Linked DNA regions of Drosophila melanogaster. The gene in region 3 interacts genetically with the main gene of each other region. Each region holds a gene or a part of one and is shown on either strand. Other genes may lie near its edges. The genes, in order: mwh, fy, kermit and jar.

Evidence for each region.
Region 1: of kermit (region 3) and mwh, changing one enhances a phenotype caused by changing the other (phenotypic enhancement), as found in Drosophila melanogaster (one study listed by BioGRID).
Region 2: of kermit (region 3) and fy, changing one enhances a phenotype caused by changing the other (phenotypic enhancement), as found in Drosophila melanogaster (one study listed by BioGRID).
Region 4: of kermit (region 3) and jar, changing one suppresses a phenotype caused by changing the other (phenotypic suppression), as found in Drosophila melanogaster (2 studies listed by BioGRID).

Annotation. Positions count from the first base shown.
Region 1 is NT_037436.4:1,197,716-1,205,593, reverse strand, and holds the start of mwh (multiple wing hairs), read right to left. Parts: upstream 4,809-7,878; 5' UTR 4,279-4,808; intron 3,724-4,278; exon of another isoform or gene 3,681-3,723; coding exon of another isoform or gene 2,797-3,680; intron 2,713-2,796; coding exon of another isoform or gene 2,628-2,712; exon of another isoform or gene 2,558-2,627; intron 2,279-2,557; exon of another isoform or gene 2,192-2,278; coding exon of another isoform or gene 1,308-2,191; intron 1,040-1,307; coding exon of another isoform or gene 955-1,039; exon of another isoform or gene 799-954; intron 1-798. Other genes in the region: CG9119 (uncharacterized protein), read left to right, coding at 955-1,039, 1,308-2,191; meep, read left to right, coding at 2,628-2,712, 2,797-3,680; Aplip1 (APPL-interacting protein 1), read right to left, coding at 6,967-7,039, 7,108-7,295, 7,364-7,878.
Region 2 is NT_033779.5:8,399,102-8,406,167, reverse strand, and holds fy (fuzzy), read left to right. Parts: upstream 1-2,887; 5' UTR 2,888-3,086; coding exon 3,087-3,164; intron 3,165-3,222; coding exon 3,223-4,337; intron 4,338-4,396; coding exon 4,397-4,454; 3' UTR 4,455-4,690; downstream 4,691-7,066. Other genes in the region: emb (embargoed), read right to left, coding at 1-252, 389-1,880; CG31898 (uncharacterized protein), read right to left, coding at 4,691-5,692; CG13386 (uncharacterized protein), read right to left, coding at 6,196-6,722, 6,797-7,066. UniProt on the Drosophila melanogaster protein: Plays a role in the organization of cell polarity via a planar cell polarity (PCP) cascade. Involved in the development of the hairs on the wings.
Region 3 is NT_033778.4:8,152,441-8,159,995, forward strand, and holds the start of kermit (kermit), read right to left. Parts: upstream 4,215-7,555; 5' UTR 3,974-4,214; exon of another isoform or gene 3,615-3,973; intron 1-3,614. Other genes in the region: CG8708 (uncharacterized protein), read right to left, coding at 7,127-7,555.
Region 4 is NT_033777.3:24,266,600-24,274,485, forward strand, and holds the start of jar (jaguar), read right to left. Parts: upstream 4,635-7,886; 5' UTR 4,300-4,634; intron 1-4,299. Other genes in the region: Orct2 (organic cation transporter 2), read left to right, coding at 6,831-7,886. UniProt on the Drosophila melanogaster protein: Myosin is a protein that binds to actin and has ATPase activity that is activated by actin. Together CLIP-190 and jar may coordinate the interaction between the actin and microtubule cytoskeleton.

The DNA.
Region 1 (7,878 bases), on a different chromosome or scaffold from region 3:
TTGCTCGATTTGTTCGCCCATCACTTGCGGCTTGACCCGAGTAACACCCGAATTGAACTATATTCTGGCTATATGGAAACCACATATACACACTCTTATCTGATACGGCCCACTGACGTAGCAAACGTGACCGCTAAATGACAAAACTCGATCGCGGATCCAACCACGGGCACTATCAGTGGACACCAACCGAAAGAGGGCTGGACTTATCAGTGGGGTACAGTGAAAGGTGCTCTGCGTGGACCGCACTACCTATTCCTACCACAAACAGATATTCTTAATTGGCCATCAACCAAGTCGTTTGAAAACATTTGGTTTGGCTTAATTTATGGGTCAGTTGGGGACAACAACTTTCTTGGCGGCTTTTGTAGACAGAGAATATGTAAATGTGAGCCATCAAATGGAGCAGCAACCAGTTATTTTAGGGTCCGAGCCCTATAGAACCTTTACGGGCAGCGAAAGTGACAACGAAGTGGAAAGTTTTTGTGGCATTCATGGAAAAGTGTGTGCCTCACATTGACATAGGTCGTTAAACGGAGGTGCTACTGTAACGAAATAGCCGCACCGTAAATACGCCTTCCTGACATGCGCATTAAGCGTGAGAGCTGATGGATCGCTCCACCTCCCCGCAGGAACCTTAAGAACTCGATCTCGACTCTAATTAAACTAAATACGGCACAAGAGTTTATCTTATCGGCGGATGCACCCTGTGCCGACCGGCCGTACCAGCAATGTTAACTATAGGGCAAACCGGGAGCCGAGCACTCAACTTTAAAAAACGAGACCCCATCTGGTTTCAGCAGACAGTCGTGTTTGCAACGATCTAGCGAGCGGTAGGTAGCCTCAGCGCGACTAGAATACTTGGTGGGCTAGAGAAAGGAATCCAAACCTGAATCGGAACGAGGCCAGAATCGCAATAAGGAGCAAAGTAACTAGGACACATCTCCAACCAAAATGAGCCAGAACCAACTGAGTACGGAGCAACTGCTCTTCGAGGAGAAGCCGCTGTACGTGCCCCCATTGTCAGAGTTGCAGAACGGTGAGTCGAGTTGGATTTCCCAGCGATCCCGCAGATAACAATACGTGCCATGTGCAAATGACCTTCAGCAGAACGGTGCCGAACTTTCCACAGCCGGTTTTCGGTGGGTTCTACGTTCTGTGTTTTTTGTTTGCTGTTTTCATTGAGCAAATCTCAAACAGAAACAGAAACATATGATTGGCGGTGGAGCTTTTGCTCAGCTTTTGCCATATCTCGTCTAGATGGAGGTCGAGATAAAGCTCTAATGGTTACCCTACCTCTCTCACAGTTATACAGGGTGCCCTGGCGGCCAACTTCGCCAATGTGAATGTCAGTGTGGGCCCTTGTCCGGATCTGAAGGCCAAGCAGTTCGGCCTGGTGGAGAGTGGACTGGGCGGCAAGCCCACGCTGCTGGAGGCGGGAGGCCCACCCTTTCTGCTGCCCCTCGTGCAGCGAGATAAGCTGTACAACATCGCCGAGATCACGCGAAAGATCCAGGGCCCCGGCACGGTGTTCGCCGTGGGCGCCGGAGCGGGACCTTGGCCCATCCGGGGATCCAACTGCGAGGGCATCTTCAACTTGTCCGTGAACGAGAAGGATGAGCTCACGAACGGCAGCTACACGGCCACTGTGAGGGGAGAGCAGGAGGAGTGCGTCCTGGAGAAGATACCCCACACAGAGCCCAGGTGCGCCCTGCTTCTCAACCTCTTCCTCAGCCAGGGCAAGCCTGGTCAGGTGTTGAAAATCACCGCCAAGCAGCGCACTGGCGAACAGAACTTCATCGAGTGCATCCGCAAGGGCCTGGAGAACCACTACGGGGACAAGGTGGTGGGTCTGGGTGGCATTTTTCTGATCAAGAAGGGCGCTGCCCACCAGCACGTGATGCGGGACTTCAGCAAGACGCCCATCAACAGCGACGAGGAGGTGAACGAGTGGCTCAAGTTCTACGAGATGCCCGCCCAGCTGAACGCCGTGGGCACGCTGGTGACCAAGGAGCACGACCTGGACCTTCGCCTGCAGCACTTCCACTCCTTCTCCTTCAGCAACTGGGGCGGTCACTACCATTACGACACCACGCCGGATATCGTTGAGTACGAGGCCTACCTGAACGTAGCCGAACGGGTGGTGCGGGTGGATAAGCCCGTGGCCACTCACAAAGTGGGACGCGACTAGATCTTATCTGCCGTATCTAGTTGTAGCCGACTTTTCCATTGCCCCAACCCCCAATAAATAATAGTAAATAAACAAAACATAAGCTCGAAAACAGAAACAGTCTTTTTATCTGCTCAAATCCCTGTCAGGCTTAACAAATACTAAAATAGCTTATCAGCTAGCTGGCCAACCAAATTTACAAAATCTAAAATTACTTCTCTAGGTTAGTACTTTGTTATTTTGAAAACAGGTCATTATAAATAGTATATTTAATAGAAACTCAAACCAGAAAACCACATACTTTTATAAATTGGAAGCCCTGTATCAGTAGAACATTATCATGACAGGCGTTCGAATGACAGACATTTTTACCAAACGATGGTGCTTCGGTCAGTCGCTAGTTTACCTCCAGCAAGGAAAGGCCCTGAACCCGTACCGAAATATTTGCAGAGATACCATGAACGGGAGTCACCTTCAAACGGAGCAGTTGCTCTTTGAGGAGAGGCCACTCCATGTGCCGCCCCTCTCGGAACTGAAAAGAGGTGAGCACTCCCGCGTGGAATAGCTGATAAAAATAGTTCTCATCTAGCGGATACGTCAAATAAAGCTTTCCACCTGCTCTCCAGTCATACAGGGTGCTCTGGATGAGAACTTTCGGACCGTAGATGTCAGTGTGGAAGCTTGCCCGGATTTAAGGGACTCCCAGTTTGGCCTTGTGGAGCGTGGACTGGGCGGAAAGGCCACTCTCCTAGAAGCAGGAGGGCCACCCTATTTGCGGCCCTTGGTGCAGCGAGATAAGCTCTACAATCTGAAGGAGATCACTCGGCGGACCCAAGGAGCAGGAAAGATCTTTGCAGTTGGACCGGGAGCAGGTCCGTGGCCCATTCGTCACTCCAATTGCGAGGGGATCTTTAATTTCTCGCTAAACGAAGAGGATGAACTCACTCAAGGAAGCTACACGGCCACTGTGAGGGGAGCGAATGAGGATTGTGTTCTCGAAAGGATTCCCGAAACCGAATCTCGTGCTGCTCTGATCCTGAACCTCTTCCTCAGCGAGGGAAAACCAGGTCAAGTGCTCCGAATTTCCGCAAAACAGCGCACTGGAGGGGAAAACTTTGTAGAATGCATTCGCAAGGGTCTGGAACGGCACTACGGAGACCAGGTGGTGGGCTTGGGAGGAATGTTCGTGGTCAGGAGGGGATGTGTCCACCAGCACGTAATGCGAGATTTTAGCAAGACGCCCATCCACACACAGGAACAGATCCAAAACTGGTTGAAGTTCTACGAAATGCCCGCCCAGCTAAACGCAGTGGGCACCTTGGTGACCAAGGACATGGGACTGGACCTCCGCCTGCAGCACTTCCACTCGTTTTCCTTTGCAAACTGGGGAGGCCACTATCACTACGACACCACGCCGGACATTGTGGAGTACGAGGCCTATCTGAACGTGGCCGAAAGAGTGATCCGTGTGGACAGACCCGTGGCGACCGATCAGTTGGGCAGAGATTGATCTTCATCTGCTCATTTGTTCCTGCCAAAAATAAACGTCTTCGAGAAAATGGTTTCGGTTTCTGTCTGGTTTTCTCAGATTACCAAAGTGTGGCTCATGGCTCGTTGGAGCCGCATCATTTGTGGAACAGGCCCTCGAGGGCATGGGGTTTATGTAATTGCCAAAAATTAGAGCCACCGAGCCGCTTTCTTCGAGATGCAAATCGATGGCTAAATGATCTGTATAGCCAGCTGGCCGGATAGCACCTGCGATGGGAGGCTGGGATGGGTGTTCTGGAGCTTCATGCTTGGCCTAATGAGAGCTGCGATACGGACGTCTAGCTAAGCAGGCCGTAAATAATGCCCCAAACATGCAGCAATCTGTGTTTTTCTTTTTGCACCGCTGGTCATTAATTATTTAATAACTTTGATCCATGCAGAGCACACAGCGAATGCATTGGTGAATTCAGCCAGTAAAACGATCCTATGGATTTCCCCAACTGGCCGGGCGGGAGTGCTGAACCAAAACAACCCGTTTGTTGTGACAGTTACAAATCGTAGTGAAGGCATGATAGATGGACGCACAGAACTTGGACAGACAGACAGACTGACTGACTTACCCACTCACGCCGGGTGACTCTCCCTCAAAATCCTATTGTTCGTTCTTCCGCGGCTCTGCTTAACGGGTCTCCAATATTTGCATTTATTTATTCACTATTCCAGATTCTTATAACCTTTTTATGAAAGTAGCAACACTTTTGGCCGCGACGAGCACACAAACAAACACCGAACTTCCATCGATTCGATTTGATCCAATTTAATCTACCAAACAGCGCGGTGAAATGCAAATGCGATTTCTTCGTCCCACGAAAAAGAAAATCTCTTTTTGTTATTGTTACCGTTGTGGTTGTGGCATTGGTTGTTGTTGTAACCGTTTTTGTGGCTCAGGCATACTCGGTTTATTCATATTTTAAACACACCATTAGCACTTTTTATTAGCTGCCTCGGTTTGATTTACTCCACTCTACCGATCTTCACTTCGCCAGCTCGTCGACTTTAGCTTCGCGTTTGGCTTTTGGCTATAGTTTCGGTTTTGGCCTGGCTTTAACTGTGCTCTAAGCCGCGTCTGCTTGGCTGAAACGCGAGTTGCAGACTGAATGAAGTCCGCGATCAGATGGCTCGACTGCCGCTGCTGGTCGGAGTGGCTTTCCACATGGAGCTGCTGCTCTTCAGGCGCGTAGATAGCGAACTTGTTTGGGGGATTTCCACGAGCTTCGGTTCTATCCATTCATGCACTTCGAGAATCGGTAGCCCTTGGATAAGATGTCACTATCCGAGAGCTTCGGCTTCAGAAGCTATCTATGCAATGAAGTTCTGTCAGTTTGCACAAGGTAAATTAATAAAGGGAGTGTCCTAATTAAATAAGTATTAAAAAAAATATATATATGAATAATAGCATGCGTATTCGATAGATAGTAGGAACATAGCATAGTACTTTTATAATTTACGATATAGAGAATTTAAAAATGTACTAGAATAATCAGAAGCTCAATTTTTTTTATTACTGACTGATTTAGAGACTGCTAAAACGCATCGGCAATCCCCTCTAGATATCGAATCGGTTTGACAAGTCCATTGCCGCCACTGGCAGCTCAGGAAAATCAGGTTGGCTTTTCGGCTGGTCTGTTTTACAAGCGTTTTTAAATTGAAATTGTCGTTTAATCTCTAATTGGCCACATTTGCGATAGAGTTAAGAGGCCGGGCACGTCGACAAGTGCATCAAGCGAGTGCCGCGCGATTTTCCCAACCCCGAAACCAGTTCCCACACCGAAACCCAGCCAAAGTCGCTGCCAAGGCTACTTCGGGTATCCATTTCCATTAAAAGCGACACGAACTAGTTAGTCTTAGTCGCTGCTCCTGTTAGAGCACTTTGCCCAAAGGCAGATCCGACCAGGCCCACCGCCACAACCCGTTCACTGAACCACCTCCGAAGAAAGTGGCCCAAAGCTGCTGGCCGGCTTCGCGAAAATTGCATAATGATTGATGCCCCCAGGCTAACTGATGTATCGCCATTTTAATGGCTCGGCCATTTATTCTCCACTCCCTGGGCGTTTTCATTAATGTGCGATTGTTTCTTTTTCCGGCGTAGATCCGCATTGGTAAATGTGCGGTGAAATAAAACTAATGTGGAATCCGAATGGGAACTTCTGGGCCATCATTCCATTCCATGGCCCGCTCAAAACAAGTCATCACAAGTTAATCTTAAAACTAAACTGCAATTGGCCATTGCCTTCATATAGCCGATTAGTATTATCTTGTCTTGTCGTGTAATTTTATGCAAATCACCAATTCATTTCCCGCGAGAGATAAACTCACATGTTTTATGTGTAAAATAATTTACTTTACAAATTATAAGTTATCTTTTAGGCTGCTAAATATTATCTACCATCATTTCGGGATTCTATCAACTTGCTATAAATTGAGCTTAAGTGCATACTTTTGGGTAAGTTCTACAATATAAGATGAAAGGGCTTACATTCTCTTACTAATAAAACTCACCTTTCTTCCTTGAGCACCCAATAATCCAATATAGTTTGATTTATAGGTTCTTTATATATTTCTTTTGTATACATATACAGTATATATTCGCCTGCGTGTACACAACTTTAAAGGTTTACACATCTTATACTGGGCTTTAATTGAGAATACTTCAAAACGTAGCAGCTGGTGTTCGATATTGTTGAGTCTCTGGTAACTGAAAGATTGGCATAACTAAACTAAGGTTACACGAAGATCGCTAAATTACTTTGGCCTCACTCTATTTTGTGCATTGCCAGGTTAAGGATGTGGTTACAGGAGGGTCTGGATATCTATAACCAATCCAAATTGCTTATCTCCGATTTACAATAGACCCAACTGACCCAACTGACTCCCGATACAAAATTCAAGGTGTTCAAGGTGTTCTTTTGCTTCTGTCCATATATCCAGTGAACTCGAGTTTAAAGGCGGTTCCTATAGAGGGGGCAACTATTGCTGATTGCTTGAAGCTCAGTGTGAGTGTGAGTGTGAAGTGGGGATTTTGAACGAAAGTTAACTAACTATTTACATGTCTAAGATCTTGCACATTTGTTCAAAACGGATAAATGATAATAATCTATAGCTAGGGTTTCTATTGCGAGCTTATTGATTTTGCTTTGAGATTCTCTTTGAAGAAGAGCAAATATTCTTGAGACTTATCTTTGCTTTTATTCGTAATAACCGCACAAAAAATATATCGTATTGATTAATGCACAAACCGCCTTGCAAGCCTACTCAATGTAGATGTCCTCGATGGGATAAGCGGTTTCAATGAATTTCTGATAGAATCGCTGGAAAGCACGGCTGAAAGAAGGAGTGTTAACATGTTATTCGAGCGTTTGTTTTGGGGGGATGACTGCTTGAGGACTCACCCCACTGCCTCGGCCACCGGTCTGGTCGACTCCGAGCCCTTGAAGACGTGGCAGGCGAACCGCTGAACCGTGGGATGTTTGGTGATGAAGCCAATGAAGCGGTGATCGCGAGGGTGAAATGCGCAGAAGGAGACGTTCTTCAGGGAGTAGAAGTAGTCGATGCAAGGTTTCTTGTCCTTTTTGTTTTGCTGTTTCACGAAATCGGTTTTTATATCGGTTATTAATGAAGATGTATATATGTATGTATCCTACTCACATTCGGGCCCGATCGATCCACCATGCGAAGTCCCTGGTCGGAAACCTCCAGGATGCACGTCTGTCCGGTCGGTGAGTTGCCGTACTCCCCGACAATCTTGCGCACCGCCTGGCAAACGACTCCGGTGCCCTTGTGCGCCAGCGTCTCCACGGATCCGAGGTAGCCCAGCAGATAGCGCTCCTTCTTCACCAGCTGCACTGTGGGATCGAACTCGTTGTAGTCCAGGTCCACGGCGTAGGCCGAGGGGAAGATGCCCTGCCTTCCGGTGCGGAGATTCACACCCTCGCACCACAGGTCCTCGGCCTCCTTTTGCACGTAGATGGCGTCGCCGATCTCCAGCTCGATCTCGTCGTGGTGCCGCGGCACAAACTTGTGCAGACCACGGTGAGTGGCCTCCAGCATCTCCAGCTGGCCAAAGGGCACGCCCCCAAAGGGAGGCGGAAAGGGGGACTGCGAAACGGGAGACGTGATCTGCGGCGACATGCTCTTAAAGTCGTTGGGCGAATGCGCCGTGC
Region 2 (7,066 bases), on a different chromosome or scaffold from region 3:
TGATGAACGTATCGCATGCCATATCCTGGACACCATCGTGCGTTTCGTGCATAAATTCGAAGAGTTTGTTTACCACCGTCTTGAGGAACTTCCAATGGGCGCGCAGGAAGCGTGGATACTGTCCCACCACATACATGATATTGGAGGCAATAATGGCCTTGTTGTCCTTGCCCTTCTTCTGTTCGCACAGGCCTAATAGATCCTTGATCACGGTGACCAGGAACCGTTTTTCGTCCTCTTCACAAAAAGCACCTGAAGAGTGATAAAAGCACAAAAAAAAATAGGGTTATACTCGGAAATAATGGTGGTCCATGATAATCAGGAATGAATGTTTGTGATTTATAAAAACCAAGTACAGACTGGGAATAAAACACCAAAAATGGCTCACCGGATATGGAACCAATGGCCCAGCACAACGTGTTCAGGTTCTTCCAAGAGAATTCCGATCCGTTCACCTGATTAAGCAGCTTTAGCGTCATGATGCGGTCCGTGTCCACAGAGTCCAAATGGGTAAGAAAGACCAGCGTTTCGCGCATGTTCTTGTACAGGTTTATTGAGTTTGTGTCCTTCATGAACTCGCGCACCACTTCCCCGTTTTCGTTCTCCACCACCAGCACCTCCTCCGGCTTGGCCATGCGCGAGATCATAATGAATCGCACTTTGGACAGGATGGGGGCGTAGAAACGTCGACGGGGATACACTTGTTGCCTCTTTGTAGACTCCAGGGTGGGGTGGAAGAATTCCGAATTGTATAGATCCTCCACAAGGCTGTTCCAGTATTCCAGACAGATCTTGAATACTTCCACGTCCTCCACCTCGCTAATCATCACCAAATACATGAGCGCCTGATTCAGGTAGTCCACATACTTGGCATCCTCCACCAGTTTGCCGTGCTCCTTGAGGAAGGTGCACAGGAACATGGCCAAATTAAGGACCAGCTCCTGCTCTGTGTCGGAACCATGCTTAAACACATGGTTCATGTTCATATTCTGGCCGACTATCTGTTCCAACTGAACCATCGTGTCCTTGAAGAGCGTCGCGAAATTCTCGTCGTAGTTTGCCGCAGTCAGGCCGGCGATCTCGGACAGACACTTCAGGGTCACATTGCGGAACATGGGTACGCTAAGGAATTTGAATATCAGCGTTTCAATTTGCTGCGTTTCAAAGATGTAGCCCAGCGGTATCCAGTTAAGGAACCTCAGCAGAGTCTCCAGCGTGACATGGATTAGGGCGGCATTCATCGAGTTCTCCAGCACGAAGGAGCATAGTGTAAAGATCTGAGAGAACTCCGAGCACATGGTGTCTTTCAGGTGCTTGGCCTTAGTCTGCGTGATCTGACCCTGCGAAAAGTCGAACACCTCCTCACTAAGGTTCTTCAGGATTACCATGTTGTTCATGCACAGGCTCTCGTTCGTTTTCGACGCACCGACAATGTCACTGATGAATGTCTCCCAGTTGCGTGGCCATTCGCGCTTTAGAATGTGGACCAGAATCATGTTTAGCTTATTCAGATACACTTTGTTCTGCTCCATAACAATGGGATCCGACGAGGTCTTGATGATAAGACTGACCACATACTTCTTGATTCCCTCGCACTGGTTGCGCGGCAGGACCTTCCAGCGCGTTTTGATGACCTCCTCGAGGATTTGCAGAGCATAAAACTTGGTCCGCTGGTTCTGTGAGTACTCCAATATGCTGTCCACCCGCGTCCATGCCTCTGGATGCTCCTTCAGCGTGGTCAGTATGCTCTGGGCTAGACGCAACTGCTCGCCCTGCGCTGTGTACACAACCTCGACGATCTTGTCCAGCAGATTAATGTCCAGCTTCTGGGAGAAGTCGAGCAGCTTGCCCGCCTCGTCCGATGTCAACATTGTCGCCATCGCTTTGTAGTAGAAGCGGCGTTCGCGTCGGCGTCGCTCTGCAGTTGTGTCCGCGTTAATTTTGATAGCTTCTTGGCTTCCTCCTCCGCCGGATGAGCTCGGATCTCACGTTTTTTCCCTTTGGATTTCTTGTTTTTGCTGTTTTTTTTTTCCACTTTATTTATCGAAAGTGCGCGGCGGCTTCTGCTTCAGCTTCTTCTTCTTCGCACTATGATGACGGTGAGGAGCGGCGACTCTCGATCTGGATCGGGATCTGGATCTGGTGCCGGGACTGGACCTGAAGCTGTGGAAATAAGACCGTTGGTTATACATATTGCGTACTTTTACGCCTGTCGACAGGCAACCATATTTCTTTTTTGTTTTCTTGTTTCATTTTTTTGGAACACACAACTACAAGCGCACGCTGTTGCCTGCGCGCGCTACACTTTTTCGCACTCGCACACATACAAGCGCTCGGCACACCACACATACGCACACACTGGCACAGGCGAACGCATCGCCGCCGCAAATGCGACAAGACTGCGGCGGCATTTCCCAAATTTTCTTAGCTTTTCAAAACGCGCCAGCGAGGACGCAGTGTGTAATTAATTAACAATCATGAACATGTAATTCACATATCAAGCTTACCTTTTACCGATTCCAGAAAAGAGCAGCGTGTGAAAACGACGACGACGGACAATGCGAAATGCAATTTGTGAGAACAGTGTGCCCGTATGGTGCTGAACAAACATACGTCCACAGCCCTGGTCTACAGGCATGCACGCAAAGTGATCGATAACGTTGATCGAATAAAATAATCAAATGGCATGGATGAAGATGCTTAGTTTGTTGGCTTACTTACTGCCAGAAACATCGATGTCCCTGATATCGAAAAACATCGATGTTTTAAGCAGCGATGTTTTAAAAAAAAATACAAAAAAATATTATCTGTTTAATTTAATGGAAAAACAAACCAGTATGCATGCATGCATAAATTGACATAAATATATTTGAATTTGATCTGTTCTCCTGAATCAGCTACAAAATACTGCATCTTACTGATTTATTACATTAAAACACTAAAAGTATGCAAGTAATTCAGATAAAAGTTTAAAATAAATCATATTAATTTACTAGTGCATCGCTTATTTTCGATAATTCAAAACGAATCGATTTAATCGATGTAAGCATCATACGTAGCAGGTTCGGCGAAGAAGAAGAGCTGCGATGTCCATCTATTTGTTATGTTTGACAACAAACGGCGGATTGCCAGTGTTTACACGAAAGAAGGGAGAATGCGAAAATGTAAGAGTAACATATTGCCTACCTATTCACTTAGTTAATACCCTTTCTCCATATCCAGCTGCCCTTCTCGACGGTGGCCTCCTTAAACGGCTTTCACATGTTCTTTAAGTCGCTGGGAATCCAACTGGAGGCCACGACGACCAGCAAACAGCAGCCTATCCAGAATCAGGCTCCCGCGGATGCCGAGGAGTGGACTTACATATGGCGCGACCGGGAATCCATCACCCTGATCGTGTGCGGCTGCGGTGTTGGGTCGGAGCAACTGCTTCAGACGCTGGCTGATCTTGTCTTTGGAGCGATAGGCATGTTCATTACCCGGGCCGCAGAAATGGCACATGCAACGCTCCTCGATAGACTGAAGAAGGACGCCAAGAAGTATGTCCCGATTGTTGACGCTATTCTGGAAGCCGCCTGTGCGGGTACACAACTCCTGGGCTACACGGACTGTCTGCTGGCGGCGGAAAACGCCCAGCTGCTGCAGTGTCTAAATGAATTTAGTGGCCACTGTGGCTCGCTCTTTTGCTGCCTGGTTGTGGGACACCGTATCGCTGTGGCCACTGAGGGCTGGTGGGATCTGGACACTCGGGACCGCGAGCTGCTGCTGTTTCTGTTGAATTCGTCGAGCACAATGCAACACGATGTGCCGGTCTATTTGCCCGTGAAAAGTCCCCATATAGCCTACCGCTTTGTCAGTATTCCTGTGGCGTCGAACAGTGCTCTGTGTGTCCTGTGTGGCGCTGAGAATGCCTCGTTCCGAGAGTTGCATGCACATGCCATGAGTGCCTACCGGAATGAAGGCAACCTTTTGGCAGCCGCCGAGCGATGCGTGCCGCGCAGTCTGCCCGAGCATCTGGAGATCGATGGAAATGTGCTGGCCATCATTCTAATTAACCGACACACGCGAAAAAGTCTCTTTACCAGAAATCTAAACCAGTCGGCGAGTGTCAAGCGCATCATTGTGGGCGATCTACAGCGCTTGGACATTCTAAAGAAGTTTTTCGATCAAACTATGGATGCAGTCCACCAATTTGAAACCCAGTCGTCCAGCAATAAAACTACGTTAGTGGACCAATATAGCTGCTCGGACTACCACAAGTGCTATGCCCATATGGATGAGCTGGGCAATGTCATATTCTTGTTGTTTGTGGCAGCGGTGCCCTCGCACGCAATGAGGTGCGATTATAATTATTTACTTTGATGACAAGGTTTTAAAATCAGTATTGTATTTACAGATTCCTTGCGCAACGCATCCATGCTAATATACTCCAGGAGAAGTCAGTATGTTGGTGATACGATATTTCTTTCTAAGCCTAAAGACTGATTTTTGTTACTACTTTTCCATGAAATAATGTTTTTTTTTAAATGACATTATATTTAACGAACAATAGGGTACAACTCCTTTTCTAAAGTTAAGCGTAATTTTTGACAAATCTTATATGTATATGCTACATACTAATATGGCTTTAATGACTTACAATTCCGTCCTTACAAATACTATTTATATATTTTAAATATACAATATGTCCTTATCCTTTTATTACAACATTGTATGGGCGACAATAGACCAGTTGTTTCTTGTTTAGCTCTAAGGGCTTTATCCTTGGATCCAGAAAAAATTGTACTATAGATCCAACTGTAAGTTGTGTGGTTTCTCCTTTTGGAGGAAGAATATTGAAACTACGTCCATTATCGGAAGCCACTAGGGCAATGGTAACACCATACTGGTTTGTAACAGACAAAATTTTAGCCGTGTGAGTGGCTGCATGGTTTTTAAGTTGACGCTGATCCATTCTTACTTTTTTGAGGACTTTACGGAACTCCTCAGCATAGCCTCCTTTAACACAGCGAGGGTTTGCCTTCAAATTGACTCTATTTTGGCTACTTGGCAGATACTGCCTAGGACTTTCACTAGGAACAAGTTGAATAGCTGGAGAAGATTCGGTATAGCTATCCTCGGTCAATCCAGAGCAGTTAGATTTATTCAGCGAGCTTTGACTTAACGATTTCCAAGAAGTTTGGAATGAAGACGTTGGCAATCGTTGAGGAGTAGGTGGATCAGAGTCAATGTTCTCTGACGACCCGTTGCAGGAAGCGGTTTGGTTAATTAATGATTTCCAAGAACTTTGGAATAAAGAGCTTGTCTCACGTCCTTCATATGAAACTGAGGGAGGAGTTCTTGGGGAAATCTGGATAGCAAGGGGCAATGCTTTTGCTCTTCGTCTCGTTCCTGGCCAACTGGTGTTCAGAAGCTGGGAACATGATGAGAAACTGGAGTTTCCTAGAGAATCGGGTTGACTGCTGCTGCTGCCGGACTTGTTTAGCGTCTGCCACATTGTCTGAAACCTGGAAGGAGTGTTCTTTTGATGATTTGATGTGGATTCCGCCAAAAAACTCCTTTGATTCGCTTTTGGAATATTAAAGTCCGTTGGTGTAAACAGCCGCTTTTTCTTTGGACCATTGCCATCCGGGCTGTTCTCCTGCTGATCGGATTCATCCAAAAGGAATCTAAGCCTACGCTTGGAGCCCATATTTCTATAGAAGAACTACATTATATTTATATTTATTTAGCCGCGAATGGAAGCCAGTGTAACCACACCAAAGGGACTGGGTATAAAAAGTAATCGAATAATCGATAAGCAGAGCGAAAAATTATTGGTGCCAATAATATTTTTCAAAATTTGAAAGGCAACTTCAATAATATTTATTATGTCATAAGACTTGGCGAACTATAATCCTTTATTAATTGATAAATTTATTTCTATAATATTGTATAAAATAACTAACAATGGTTTTTCCTTTTAAAATAAATTCTATACGAACTGCGTATAGAGATATGCATTTTTTTTTTACATTTTTTCAATTAACGCTTTGCTGGTCAATGATTTGTTTTTATAGCGATTACGTTTTCATGAATGATTAAACGATAATGAAACTGACCACAACAAAGTCTTATCACGGATTGTTACTTGTCGATAGAGATTCATTGAAGGCAACCGCCTATTTTCCATTTCTTTTGTTATGAATGGCATATTTATAAAGTGTATTTATGGGCTTTCCTCGCCAGCGGATTTCGGCCTGCTGCTCGTCGTTTACGTTTGCCAACGATGGTTCCCAGCCCCGAAACAGTGCCCAACTGGAGGAGCAGAGGATTGCTGACCAGGGCAGCGGCGATACCAAGAACTGCAGCACTGGCCAACGGGATGAGAAAGCTTTTGGCCAGCAGTGCTTTGGAGGACACGTCGCCGTAGCCGGGACCCTTGTGCGCGGCTATCTCGTGGTGATCCAGAGGATACGGATACGCATATTCGGGCGGTGAATAATGGCCATGTCCAACAGCGTGACCCGGTCGCGATCCATACACATCGAAGGGAATACCAGCCTCTACACTAGAACTGCCGAAAAAGGCGCCACTTGCAGCTCCGCCTGCTAGACCAGCTCCTCCTATTCCACCTCCTCCGCTGCCGTGGGAGTACTCGTAGGGATACGGGTGGGAATTGCTTTCAAAGCTGCCCACATTCGGTGCATGCGATGCCTCTACTCCTGCGGCTCCATAAGGACCTTTTTTTTGTTGAAAAATTAATTAGTTGTAGAATTTAAACTATTCTTCTGGTTATTTGTTTCTAATGACTCACCCACACTGATGCGATCCTGGAGATTTGCACCTCCAGCTCGCCATCTATTGTAGGTATCACTTAGACTTTCGCCCACACTTCCCAGAGAGGGATGACCGCTGGAACTGATGGGAGTGTTGTTTTCTAATCCCCCTTCTGAGCCTGGACCCCTGTAGAATTCGGGCGGTGGCTCGAAGCTCTTGGCGATGGCCGAACCAGCCAGGTCCAATTGGTTTCCCGACCGCTGGCTGACCGCTTCATATTGGGCACTTGCATTTTGGGCCACCGCGA
Region 3 (7,555 bases):
ACAAGCAGAAAATTGAGCTTGCCATATCTAATGAAATCGAAGAAAACGCTGCACTGGAAAAATACTCAGCATAGGTTAAACATATTCAAACTGAAATTTCAGTTTAAAGCTGTTCGTTTTATTAATCCAGTTTAAACTTTATTGTTGTCCGTTTGGTTAAGAAAAATGCAAAATTTATAATATAATTATAAAATGAATATGTAATAATATCTGGCGTATTCGAAGAGAGATTTACTTTCCCCATTTCTATTGATTTCCAGTGGAACAGCCATCAGTTTTGACATTCATATATTATGTATACTAATATAAATCACTTAAGTTTTGCCTTTATATTTATGACATTTTAATCAGTGTTGTAGGTAATAATCGCTTATTCGAGCTTGAAACCTTAGAAAGACAATATATAAAAATATCTCCCTGTGTCGTGATGCTAATGCATAAATAAACAGTGACATCGAGCGGTTAGTCTAAATTACAAACAAACCGAAGATTGTAGTTGGCGAACGAAGACCCGACCCACTGCTAATATAAACAAGTATCCAATTTGCTATTTCCACAGATAATTCAGATGGACTGTGGGCGAAGCGAAAGCTTAAATGTCGCTTCGCCCTGCCCAATTATATGTTGGTATTATTTATGCACTGTTTTTGTGGCATTTTCCGATCACGTTTTCTGCGATTCCTGTGTTTCTCACTACATTATTCATAAATTGCTGACATTTTGCATTTGGCATGGTCCCGAACCAGAGTCGTTGCTCCACGATTCGATGATCCAGTGCAATGAACTCGCAGCCCTGGCTGAAACATATCGAATGGCCCTTTATGGGGCATATTCCACAAAAACTACTAATGTGGAGCACTCAAAACACCCGGGCACCGACATTAGGGTCTAGTTAGCATAATGCACAGCCAAACAACAATGAGCACCACACGCAACGTCAAGTATGTATATACATATGTATCTAAGTATCTACGTATGGCGAAGGGAAAACATTGGGGCAGTTTTGAAAACATTTAACCGTTTCACCTCGCTGAACTGCGAGCTCGAAAAAGCAAATTAAGCAAACGAATTATAGCCGAAAAGCCGTGGCAATGTTTGTTTTGGGCCAAGTTTACGCCGCCCGACAATCTAAACTCAAATATGAATTTTATCTCTTTGTAACGTTTCTCCAAAATATGTTAATCCGAAGGCTGTATTGTTTTCATCAGTTCACAAATTACGGGTGATGAAATCGGAGCGGAAATTCGGGATAATTAAAACTGGAAGTGGCAAAAAAAAACAATAATTGTAGATATATGTACATAAGCGCCAGTTTTTGTATCTGATAAACAATAAAATCCGATCTTTCTATTACTTCTGATTGTAGGCAAAGACAAGTATTTAGTGTGCAAAAAGATTGATCGCTGTGCCCAATCATGTATTAATGATATGAAACGACTGAGGAACTGTGGATAATTAAAGCGGAGTAGAAACATCACGCAGATGGAAAACATGCAGATTCATTCACACCAGTTCCGAGTACATCTGATACTGATTGCAAAAACGTTAGTGCAGTAATATTGCACATGTGCGGCAATGAGTGCGCATAAAAAGCGCAAAGTACGGCCATAAAAAGCACAGTTAAACTGATTGCCAACTGTTGGCATGACGGAGCAGCCCGTGGCAGCCCTAGCTACCAGACCAGACCAGACCCACGATTCTTCAACCCATTATTCCCAGCCACCGCTCATCCCGCTCGGACCATGCCGCTCCAGCTTTTCATAAAGCGCCCCGTCGCATTGAAATGTCACGCAAGCAATTTACATAAATGGAGTTGCTTCCGCTTGGTGAGCTGGAGAACGGAGAGCGCGGAGCGGACACAGTGCATCGCATCCAGGCAGAAGAGGAAGCTATCTTGTGTATCTGACGGGGAGTATCTGCCTATCCGAGCGCTGCTCACGTACGAAAACAACTGTTAGCAAGTGGCGAATGGGCGGGTAAAAGGCAACAGCCGATAGCGGCGGAGCGGAAGCGGACGAAGGAATCGAATCGATCAAACAATTTCCGAGCTGCTCGTCTGCCGAAAATACACAGCGAGAAATATGCCAGAAATCATAACTCGTTAAACCTAGAGATACTTATCTGCCTCAGTTAAGTTCAACTTTGCTAGTTTCTTATCTAAGATTATAAGAGCAGATCGAAGATCTTCAAAGAAACACTTGTTTATTGCTCTGTATGAGCTTTAAGCTAGAGCATCTTCGATGGGTTTCCCACTGACCAACTTCACGGTTAGTTAACACCTTAATTTGCCTACAAATTGCTCAAGTTTGGAGTTTTGAGTTTCTTTGGTCATGGTTGCGTCTTTCGTTGCCCCTTTCTTTTCGGCGGCCAGCTGAGAAGTGCTTGGCCAGATGAAAACTGAGGAACGGAAAACTCAGTGCGTAGACCCACGTGCTGGCCGCATTAACTTCACAGTTTTGTAAGAGGGAAAACGGAAAAGCGGTAATAAATGCCCCGATGTGCGTGCTGGCTGCAAAACTGAAAAGGCGCTTTATTATCGCCACTTCGGCGAGGCATTTTGTAATGTCTAGGCTGGAAAAATCAATTCGGCCGTGAAACTTCAACGAAAACGAAAAGCATGCTGTTTGCACCCCCGAAGTGCAGCATATTTTTGCGACGACGCACAGAAGCCGGCACCCTGGGAAATCACATGGATTTGGAAAGTCCTAACCTCAACATAATAGCGGAAAATGAACTAGCGACTTGGGGCAGGCAATGGCCACAAAGCACGGAAATGCCCCTTTCAGCGTTTCAGTTTTCGGGGTGAGTTTCGGTCTATGAAATCACTTCCGCTTACGCTTTTTTCCTCTGACATACAGACAGTGGGTGTGGTGCCGAAACACTTGTCACGCCACAAAACCAATGATTAGCCGCCCAGCAGCTGCAAAAATCGATAAGGTCCGTGGGTCAACAGCGTTTTGGCCTGTCTTGCCGGTTTTAAATGCATCCAAGTTTTTAAAAATGCCTGGCTGAAAGTAAAACAACTTGAACCACGAATCTTTTCTTTCGTCTCATCAAATGTTGTTTATCGATATTATTATTTTATCGATCGCCTTTGATTTCCTTCAATTTCTACCCCGGTAACACCACCTTCCCCTGCACTACAGTCTGCTTTAGTTAACTAGTAATCCCAGCTTGGAAATTGAAATTCCTTGTTTTTTTGTGACGCATTGCCTGTTGCCAGGCGGTTGCATGTTGATTTGGCCCACCCTCCTCCTCTCACCACACGTCCTGATGACTAAGAACGATTTCGCTTTCCTCGCTGCCGAAGCGAAATTCAATACAAAAGATGGGAAAACGCGTGCCGCCGCCTTTCACTTTACTTGTTCGTCGGTTGGCGCAGAAAAGAGTCTGTTAGGCAAATGAATGGGCAACCGACTGAATGGATGCCAAAGATGCTCCACCACCGGGGCGGGGTGTTAACAATTCCCGAAAGACAATGCAGTGTGTTGTTACGGAGCATATATAGTATGCATAGTTATAGTATATACATAGAAGATACCACGCACCAGAGAGAGAGAGAAACCCGATCAGACCAATATAATGTCGAAAGTGACGGACGGTACGGAACGCACCTGCTAGGCGATGGGCGCTGTGCTGATGACGCGCTGCTGCAATTGCATATGTATATCAATTTGTTGATAATGATAGTGGTGGCTATGGCCCGGTTTTAGGTATCGCCGATTTCCAGACTTCCAGATCGTGGGCCCGAGGAAAGCGCCGCTAATGAGCGAGGAAAGCGGACTTCTTCGTACCGGACCAGTTGGATGTCGTCGTCGTCGCCTCGCACACTCGAAACAATTTGTTCTTCTTTTGCCCACCAACACGTTATTGAATCTCTTTCACTGCCAGCTAACTGGTTTTTTCAGTGCTCCGCCACTGCTCGCCAAATACACACACATTGACCACTTTCCAGGGTTCTCTTTTCACTCACTCTCGTGCTTTGATGTCGCGATTTTACCGATCTACCGCCTGGGCGTTCAAATTGAATTTCAACCACGACGTCGTCGCACAATTCCGCTAATTAAACTAGTCGTCTCGGTTAACTAACGCCCGGAAAATTGTGGCCGCGCTGCGCTCGAAAATTCGGACCTCGCGCTGTAGAAATGCAAGAATAACAACAACTGCGCCAGCTGAGCGCCAGCTGAGCGCCAGTGTGGCCAGCCACTCTGTTCGCGGTGGGGAAACATCGATGCCGCCATCGATGCTGACAATCGGCCTATTGAGTACTTGTGGCTTAACATTTTCGGTGAGTTTGAAATTTTGGCGGTTAAGGTGCACTTACCAGATTTAAAGGAACTTAAGTTTTCGTGACAAGTTTGTATAGCATTGACTAGCCTCCACTATTTTGGTTAAGAAAATATAAAACCAGCAACAATAAGACTAATTGTAGACGGATAAAAAATTAAAATCTTAATAAGGTCACTGTAATGAAAATGAAGAAATGAAATGAACACAAGAACAAATCAAACAAATGTGCTTATTTCCTGGGGTAAATATCTCATACTGCATTTGACTAATGATATATATTATACTTTCAATCAGCAGAATGGTAGTCTAAGAGAAAAAACTCTTGCACCCAATATTATGACATTCCTCGACCAAAAAATAACAATTTAGTTGATAAATATTTATACCCAAGACTTAAGCTTCAATTTAAAAATAATTTAACCTGAAGTTCAGCAGGTGGTTAAAATCGACTCCGTTTGATAATTTAATTTCATAAATACATATATTTGATACAATATATGTAATTACATTAGCTAAGTTTGGTGATTTAAAGCAACATGTATCTCATTTTATAGGACGAAATTCTTGGGTGGATAGGAATACAGTTCCTAAGCGGTTCCACCGAGTTGCTTGGAAAGTTGCGATCAATCCACTTCCTGAACATGGACACATTTTTGAAGGTCGAGGAAACGTTTGGCCTGCCGCAATCGACGCCCCAGGCCACGATCCCGACCTGGTGATATCTAGCGAAGATTGCGTCAGGGGAACAAACCAAGATGGACCCACCGTCACCAACGCAGACATCCTTGTCCTTCTGTCCGCTGACACATATGAGACTGGTGGCAAGCTGAAACCTGGTTTTCCTCAACATATTCTGGCAATCTCCTTTGTTTACTATGGGTAACTCGATTTGCTTTTGTATACTCGACATTTGAGAGTCGTTAAAAGAACGCTTTCCCCATCCGGAAATCACACAGTGTGTCTGCTCAATGGACGACCCTTGAAGAGGTAAGCAGATGGGCTGTATGTCATTTTTAAATGCAAATGTAGACTCCAGGTATAGACAACAACAGGTGGGCTGCCGTTAGTACAACCTCAGGGGCAATCAGGGAACCTCCTCCAAAGAACGAGGACAGGGACGGATTCTCCATCTGGTGTAGTAGGGGTAGAATGGATACAAGCTGCGTACAAACTCTGTGAACCTGTAGTGCACTTACTTGAGCTCTTATTTCACTTACTTGAGCCCTTATTTCACAACACACTTAAGTGGGTCCACAGAATACATTAGTCGGTCGATGCCAATCGCCGGTTTGGTGCACTCCCATCGTTGGCCAAACATCGTTTTGGATAATAACAGGCGTGGCCACAAACCAACCAGCTCAGGAGAAGCACTCCTATGGTCTAGTGGCACTCCATTGTCCGATTCAGAAGACTACTTGCCGAAGACTGATATTGCAATAAGTGGTCTCAGCAGGCTTTCTTATTACATTTCTTTTTTGCTGATAAGAATAAAAAAACATGCAACACGCTTTCCAAGAAATTGAAAATTGTAATCGAATTGTTTTATATTTTATATTCACACATATTTCTATTTGTTTATAACCCAATAGGCTGGAATACAAAAAGGTAATCAGTATATACATAGATAACATCCACTTTATTCGGACTTTAAATAAGTAGCGATATGAGTGTTTAGAGAAGCACCCCCAATCCAAATTGATAACCCAGAACGCCGCTCTCACGAAGGCCCATTAGCTCAGTTGGTTAGAGCGTCGTGCTAATAACGCGAAGGTCGCGGGTTCGATCCCCTCATGGGCCACTCTTCATTTTTTGCTTTTAGCCGGATAACTAGCCAAGTCGATCTAGGCATTCCAGTCTTCCTCACTTATCATCTAATCGATGTAGACGCCCGTTCACGTAGTGACGAAGCGCACCCTGAGAGCGTACGAAAGTACTCAGTGAGCATTCAGAACACAGTTTTCTAAAAAACAAATGTATAGAGACATCAATGTGCTCATTTAGCTAATGGGCATTATTATTGGTCTCATGTCAGGAATAGATCTTTAATCGCATTCAAATTGCATATCATTTCGACCAAAGATGTCTTATTAATACGAAATTCAGTAATCGCAAGATAGAAACTTACGCCCGAAGGTGCAAAAAGGTCAAAAGGTGCAATAGGCCATTTTGCTGCGAACTATACAAATGAAATATAATTTAATAATATAATTATTGGAAATATATTAGTTTACTAATTGATTACGAAATCCATTTTCCTTGAAACTCAATGTACAAAATGCAAGCATAATATAATTATTATAAATAGAATATTAGTTTTATTATGTTACAGTTTAATAATCATTCATATTGCATTAAAACACAATCCTATGTTTTGAAACATAAATCCCCTCAAAATATTTGCTTTCTACGTACTGATCCTAAAAATGTAACTCATAATCACGTATACGCAATGTTGTCTTGTATGTGCGTGCAGTGCAGTTTTAATGTTTAAAATTAGTTATTTATTAAAATGCAACTTCCGAAAAAGCATATCCATGTGGTGACTGGAATCTCCTACGAATCCAAAGGATCAGTTTAGGATTTTAAAATTCCGAGCCTTTGGCTAATCGATTATCTCCCAACTTAGCATGGAATTGAATCAACTAATTTTTTTAAAGAACTGACATCTGACCATTCCCATTACTGCATTTACTTTATCTTTATTATGATGTATTTGAAAATAGTCCTTCTAAAATAATAATCTAAGAAAATTTTTATTAAAATGTATAAACCGGATGAGCGGCGTAGACTCAGAAACAGCTCAGTTCCAAAGCCTGCCAAGTAAACTCAATAAATTTTAATTTTCTTTCGATGTTTCCTTGGACTTGGAACGCTTTTCCGTTTCCTCCTCAGTATACTCCGAATCATTGTCAGTTTTTCGCGAGTCTTCGCGTTCCTCGTCCTCCTTTGAAAGCTTTTCCCTGTATTTGGCATCCTCTTTTTCCACCTCCTTGGAGTCCATTTCCCGAGCATCGGGCTCCTTTGGCTTTTCGGTCGTGGTCGTATAGATCCTGTCGTAATCATCGGCGGAATCCTCGTTACTGGCCAGGCGCCCCCTGGCCTCCACGGGAGGCGGCAGAAACTGACCCACTTTGAGTTTGGCGGGCAGAGGCTCCAGGGATCGCAGTAGGCCGTAGGGTTTCAAGTGGTAGATGAGATAGTCCAGGACATAGAAGGAATTCGGAGCTACGTAGTGAAAGGAGATGGCCAAGTCCGAGCAGCAGTC
Region 4 (7,886 bases), on a different chromosome or scaffold from region 3:
ATAACGAAAAAAAAAACAGCTCGTATGCCATTCTACAACGGTGGAAAACCAAAACATCTCAGACACAAAGGAAAATTAAAGCAAAGTCAAAACGAGACGGCGAAACCACGAAAATTGTGTAATAATTGCGACACTTTCCTGGGTTACAACCCATGAACAACTGGAGGCAATTTGAGGCCAAAAGCGCTGAGAAAGAAGCTCAACTCGCAGCCCGTTAGCGAATCGTTCAGTTTTGTGTGGATGAGCATTTCATCGGAATCCAATGGACATTGTTGGCCAGATTGGCATTGTTCAGCCAGAACCGATCTCCTATGAGCCCAAAAACCAGTTGCGTTCGCCATTCCGGCCAGTTCCTTGACCATCTTCCGATATCAATATCAAGTTCAACCAGTCAAGGCGGGCTGCTCACGTGATCCAGGAGCCCGGGAACCGGGTCCGCGAGGATGGAGGCACAGGGACGCGCTAACGGTGCGACAGGTTCAGGTTCGTATTCGGCATCGCGATTGTGCAGCGCGGGGGCTACAAAAGTCAACAGTGCACTGATCAAAAATTTACTAACTTTATTCAATAAGTTTAAAAAGAAGTTTAATCAGAAGTCAACATAAAAAGGGGGTAAGCTGATGTGATGGTAAATAGGTGACCCCAATCAAGTGCAAAGGTGACCCAGACATATGTGAATATACATAATAAAAAGTATCTATATATTATTACCCACATTCTGAAGATGATAATGGAAATTGAATATCATCTCGATAGACACTCCATATTATTCCCGATTTAAGTAGCTGCCTTTCCCTAACTGTAGCGACTGCACGGATTTAGAAGCCATCCGCTGGGCAACCAGTTGAACTTGTTTTAGCCACAGATTTTGCAGCTGCCAGTAGCCACTACCAAATGGGTTCAGAGTGATGAGTCACTCGGGCTAAATGGTCCAACTTGGCCCATCCGAATAGCCCAAAAAAAAACAAAAAAAAAAAAATGTGGGGGGAAAATTGGTCGAAAAGCAATTACACTTGCAACAATAGAAGTTGCAGCTGTAAAATTTATGGCCCGAACGTCACAGGAACAAGAGTTTGCTTCGCTTAACCGAAAGCGGGAAACGCAACGGTGACGGGGCCAGAGTTCACTGTACCGTAAAGCGTTGGCAAGCAAAACGCTGAGCATGCGCAAAAGTCACAACCGAAACAAGTTTTTCGTAGCGTTTTGTTTTTCAATCTTTCTCTGTTATTTTTGCCATCCCTGTCCGATTTTGTTTTTAATTTTTTTTTTCGTATTTTAGTTTAGTTTAAAGTTTTTCATATGCCCCACAAATGCCGAGTCGAGTGCTTTCAGTTGCAGTGCGGGTTCAACGACTTGGAATTGTTAAAAAAAAAAGATGAAGCGTAGAGAAGGGGGATTATGTAAGGCGAAGAAATGACTGTCGATAGTTAAACGTCGAGCAAGTGGAACCAATTAATGCGGACCAGTCAAAAGAAATCCGAAAAAGCCGGAAAACTACCGACAATTGAAAAGCGTTTTTTTTTTTTCCTGTGAGCCAAACGGCAATTAACGCTGCTCGTTTCCTACAATTCGGAGATGCAATTAAAATGCAAATGCTAACCGCTGGCTATCCCACATCCAGACCCAGACCCAGATCCGAATCCCATTTCCATTCCCATTGCCATTGCCATTAACCAAGTCATTTTACAGACGTTGATGGATTTGTGTGACGACCCTATAACTCATTTTCCACGACACATGTTCACAGATTTTCCATATGGTGTGGACCTGCAAGTCGTTACTTTGCACTTGGCGGATATGTGAGCATGGGGGAAAAAAGCATGGATCACTTCGTTTATTTTGGGTCACATTGGGGGCTTTGTGTTAGCCAGCCTTTGTTTTTTTGGGCGGCCTGTGTGTGGTGTTCCCAAATATGTGTTATCGTTTCACACTTAATCTTATCTCAGTTCCCCAGCACAATTACCCGTTTGACGCTAGGCAGAAAAATAAATAGCAGGTAAATATAATTCAGTTTCGTTGTAATGAGAATAATATAACCAAATTTATTGGCCACACAACTAGCAAATTGCAGAAAGTCGAGCCTCTTTCCCATCGAAAACTATAGCTATGCAAATCTATTTTCAGTCCCTTTGTTTTAAATGATTGTTTAACGATTGAAAAGTTATAAATAGACTGACAGTCATTAATCAAACGAAAGTAAAATTTTTTGACAAAAAAGTTGCAGATTATGGGATTATGGATTATGAATTTAAATGTTACTGTAACTATAAAAATGGTCGTATCATTATCATCATACATGATTCACATTAGTTAAGTGGTTGAAGTTTAAGCTTGAAATAATTTATTTATTTAGTGTTTAAAAATGAGTGCTATCTTATCATATTTACAACTGTATTCCGAATATATAGTTTGAATCACCGTTGATATATTTTTGAACAGGAAACTGAAACGGAACTTTCATTGCATATATTGATCCAATATTTTATAAGCACGTGTTGCGTTGGACAAACCAAAAAAAACTAATGTACATGAATAAAACAAGAGGGGCATGTACATAAAAAATCCATCAACGATGCCACGATAGAAGCAAAATACAACTGGAATTATGCTAATCGACTATCAAAACAAAAGCTGCAATTAAACCACACACTCTGGCTGACTTTCACTGCGAATCTTTGAACAATCGTCGGCCGTTTCAGTGTTTCTCTTTTTGTATTATATGCAAATTGGTCTAACGCATCTCGAGCCCAACTGCTGGCCACTCCAAAAAGATTGGTTTGCCTCCATTCGAGAAACTTTGGGCTACATATCTGTATAACCCGTCGAAGGTTCCATATAATTCATATAGGCAGCTGTCGGCGCTGACAATGGACGGCAATGGAGATCAGGATTGTGATCCTGCGATCCTGTCAGCTGTGTGGCGCGTGTTGGGAATTGCTTGCCACCCGGCGAGGGGGAGGTCACGTCGGTTTGAAAGGGGGTTGAACGGGGCTTGAGTGACAGCCAGCACAGGGACAACAACAGGACTTCCTCCAGTGCACCGCAAAGGATCTCGAATTATATGGAATTATATGCGCGACACCCTTGTGCGAATATTAGGTGAAATGATACAGTGATACCTCAATAAATCCATCAAATATTTATTATAAAGTAAAATGTCTTGGTTAAAGGGAAATGCAAATAGGTAAGTTAGTTTTAGCACCCATATAAACATTCTTGTTTGTTTCTAGCCACCGATTCCCGTGAACAAGGACAACATTCCTCACCCCCCCAGAGAAATATAGATACCCTGGCCACATGAAAGGGTATCGACGAACCCGTTTAATTGGCTTTAAAGTGTTCAGAATAGGTTGGGCACGTCTGCAAACATGGACACGCATGCGCAGGAGCGGCGTCCACATCCCTGCTCCTCCAGCTCCTACTCTGCCCCTATTTTCCACATAAATAAACGAAATGTGCCTCGAATGGGAAATCAGACGGCCAGTCAGTCGATCGGGGAGAACGACACTTGTGTCCCTGGTTGACAGGGAAGGGAGGGGGGTGTGGCTCCAAGAAATGTTTGCTCATTTCCGCACTCAATTAAAATGGTCGGGACACAAAACTATCTTTGAGTTTGCTTTAAAAACACAACAACAACAACTGTGAACTGACGACGTTGACATGGGCCCCTGTCTATAAATAGAATTATGTACATACACACACATATGGACACATGGAATAGGGTGCATGGTTGTGGGTGCGGGATGTGGATGAGGATGCGTGGTAGGAGGACAGCTGTGGGAATTGCAGGAATGGTGGTGACATTTGCTGTTGCGACTGCGCACTCCTTTTGTTCGATTTACGGTCACGTTTTCTGTTTGAACCTCCTGTTCTATAGAGAACTAATAATATTGGAGGGCAAACAAAACAAATATGAGTCATGGTTAGAATAAGTTTACCAAAGCCAGAAAAGAGCTAAATTCTATGTAACTACTTGGTATAGAAATTAATAAAATGTAATGATTAATTGTACTTTGGTTTAGTTTATGTGCAAAAAACGATTCCCAGTTGAAAGTACTCATATGTAGGGTGCAGTCACTTCCGCGATTGCTAATCGATTTCTTGTTTGCAACACTGGCATATTGTACATAGGTAACCAATTTTCGTGGACAAGAATGTGCCAATGTCAGGCGGAAAGGCGAAAAGCGCAAGTCAACAGAAAGCAAAAGGCAGCAAATCCGCCTTCACAGGTGACCACCACTCGCTGTCAGGCGGTTATCCCCTTACCCCTATTCCTCCAGAGAGATATTGGCCACTTACCTTAAGACGGCTGGAAATCTGTACGTGCGTAAGTTACTGGCAAATGGGGATTATGTTTCCGGGGACGCACACGAACACATTGATGAAGGCGCAATCCACTTGGAATCGATCTCCTGCGTGGATTTTGTTTGGTTCGAATTTAGAACTTGCAATTTATAGCCACGATACACTATTTCCAAAAGTTTGTAACACTTGAAGTATTTTCAGCTGGGTGTTGTGTTTGTTTGCCTCGGTTTTAACAGTTTAGATTTAAGATTCAAGCGGCGATCGGAAGGCGACCAGCACGAGCGTCTCGAATCGCGTACCGTCGCGTTGGAGAGTCGAGTCGAACTGAAATCAAATCCACAACAATCCACTTTTGGATTTTCGACTTCGAAAAGCAACGGCACCGAAACAACAACAAGCACGCGCAAAACAGCTGACCGCTAGAGGTGCCACCACCGCTGCCGATAGTTAGGGCGCAAAATCTGCCCTGCAGTGTGACCAGAGATTAGTTTTGGCGCTAATTTTAAATATGCGTTACTTTTCAAATCCATAATGGTTAGATGGGTTTTTAAGATACTCATTTTCGTAGATGCAGTAGTTTTTACTTATCCTATTTGTGTAGCCAGTTCTAAACTTAAAGCTTGGAATATGGTAATTTAAGATGCACCGCATATCAGTATATATAAACAGTATACTCTTCAAAAAGATTCACCGCTGATCGTGCTGTTTTTAAGTTTAATTATGAAAGATGCAAACGAAAATGGCCAAGTTTGAATGGAATGGGTTAAGAATGCGGTGTTATCGAGTGGTTCACTCTTCTGCAACACCTGCATCACGACTGGTCCACAGTCGCAGTGGTTTATCCGTCAGAATGTTGGATAGTGTTGTACTCAGTTCTCAGTACTATACTATAATTATTTCAGCAAAGCAAGAAGATTTGGCAACTTTTCAAAATATAGATTTCGATGGCTGCACAACGGTGCGTTCTCATATTCTTGTTCCCTATATATTTTAAGTTTAGTGACGTGGAGCAGGACAATTGGTTCCCACATACCGCCCGTACTCTTTGTAAAAGTTCCAAGAGGGGTTGTTTAATGAATAAAAAGTGAGGTGACTAATTATTTTCCTGTCCTTAACTTTACCAGCTACCACCACCACCTGGATGCATTCTGGGGATCAAATATTCCGCCAGCCTTTGTTGCAAATATTTAGATAAATAACACTAGCGAATGAACGAGAAACGAGTGTGAAATAGGAGCCATTGTATCGTACGATTTTCCGTCTTTGATTTTTCGCTCTCATAATGGGTCAGCGCCCCGCTTATTAATTGAGCTCAATCAGGAGCGTCTTTATTAATTGTCGCAGGGGTATATTGTGTTTTACTAACTATAGTAAGTTATAAGTTATAAGTAAGTATGGTTGAACCCTTCTAACTTTGTAATACTAGATTTCAAAGTTGAAGTTACTTGGTGTACTTGCTTAACTATAAGATATAATTTTCTAATGAAACTAAGTTCTTTTAGCTGATGAAAACTGGTATCTCAACGAACAAGAATGGGTATCTCTTAGTCGCTAGACTCAACTGCGACCATTTCTTTGTATTTTTGCAATACCCGCTTAATTGTCTGTCTGTCGCAGCGCAGCTCAATTGGAAGTGAAAGAGAGCGCGTAGGTCTGAGTGATCGTGATCGCCTGATTGACAAACGACTGCCATCGGATGAGGCATTCGAGTTTCCACTTACCTGGCTTACCTGGCTGCAAGCGGCTGTGCAAATGGAAATTGGTAGAGGCTTTCCCCGTAAGTGGCCGGGGATCGGTGTAATTTGCTACCAAAAACGACTAGGGGTGGCTCCGTACCATGTTAGTCATATCTCCACCTTCTCCTCGTCCGCCTGAAGTGGTTGTATCTGGGTATTGCTATCTTGGTATTAGAGACCCGCTCTCCCGATTCCATATCGATTCCACTGAGAGTGCGCATGCAGCCGGCGTTTGTTTGCCGTTCTTCTTTTCGCATATAACATAAACAGTCGGATATATCCGAGCACCAGAGAGGGTCGGATATATAGCCGCCTTTGCTGTTGTCCCTGTCGGTTGGCATGAGCTATTGTTTTTGGCTTCGGTTTGGTCTTGGTTTGGTTTGGATAGTCAGTTCGGTTTCGTTGGCCTGAGGTGACGCATCTAGATAGCGGGTTGCCGGTTTCTTTCGCGAAGTGCCCTTGTTTTTCCACCGCGGTTTCACTTCCTCTCCCTGGCCAACATATTTGGGCAACACGTGTTGGCCGATAATTGCCGGAACCGAGACGGAGAATTCTCGCTCTCCCTCTCTCTAGGGAGCAAAGTACACGTCACAACGGAGCAGAGAGTCCACTCTATTTCTCGGAAACTTGCGAGTGCGTCGACATCACGAGATTGTGCCAAAAAAGCATAGCGTTTCCGATTTGGTGTTTTATTATACCGGCGCCACTCGACGAAGTCAGTTGCGCGAACGGAATCTAATATTTAGATTCGTGGACTCTGGACAAAAGTGTTGAGTGTGCAGTTTAGCCATGGGCTACGATGAGGCCATCATCCATCTGGGTGATTTTGGACGCTATCAGAAGATCATCTACTTTCTCATCTGCCTAACATCCATACCAGTTGCCTTCCACAAGCTGGCCGGGGTGTTCCTGCTGGCCAAACCGGACTTCCGGTGCGCCCTGCCCTTCGAGAATGGAAGTAGCTACGACTTGCCCACCCACCTGTGGAACCTATCGTATCCGGAGAATGAAAGGTGCTCCTACTACGATGTGGATTACACGGAGGAGTACCTGAATGGCAGCATTCCACGGAGCAGCAACGAAACCAAGACCTGTTCCAGCTACGTTTACGATCGGAGCAAGTACCTCAATAGTGCGGTGACCGAGTGGAACCTGGTTTGTGGCAGGGATTTCATGGCAGCTACCAGTGATTCGCTCTTCATGCTGGGCGTGCTTCTGGGCAGCATTGTGTTTGGTCAACTGAGCGATAAGTACGGAAGAAAACCCATCCTCTTCGCCTCACTGGTCATCCAGGTGCTGTTCGGTGTTCTGGCTGGAGTGGCTCCGGAATATTTCACCTACACGTTCGCCAGGCTGATGGTGGGAGCCACCACTTCCGGAGTTTTCCTCGTGGCCTATGTGGTGGCCATGGAAATGGTGGGTCCGGACAAGCGCCTTTACGCCGGCATCTTCGTCATGATGTTCTTCTCCGTGGGATTCATGCTGACGGCGGTCTTCGCCTACTTTGTCCACGACTGGCGCTGGCTGCAGATTGCTCTAACGCTTCCCGGACTAATTTTCATGTTCTACTACTGGATCATTCCGGAATCCGCCCGCTGGCTGCTCTTGAAGGGACGTAAGGATTGCGCCATTGCCAACATGCAGAAGGCGGCGCGATTCAACAAGGTGGAGATCAGCGATGAGGCTTTGAGTGAGCTGCTCGATGAGGGAGAAAACTCGGAGGAGAAGGCCAAGCAGAAGCTGGAGGATCAGGAGCTGGATGAGGGACCACCGCCCTCCGTGTGGGATCTCTTCTGCTACCCCAATCTCCGGCGCAAGACGCTGCTTATCTTCCTGGACTGGCTG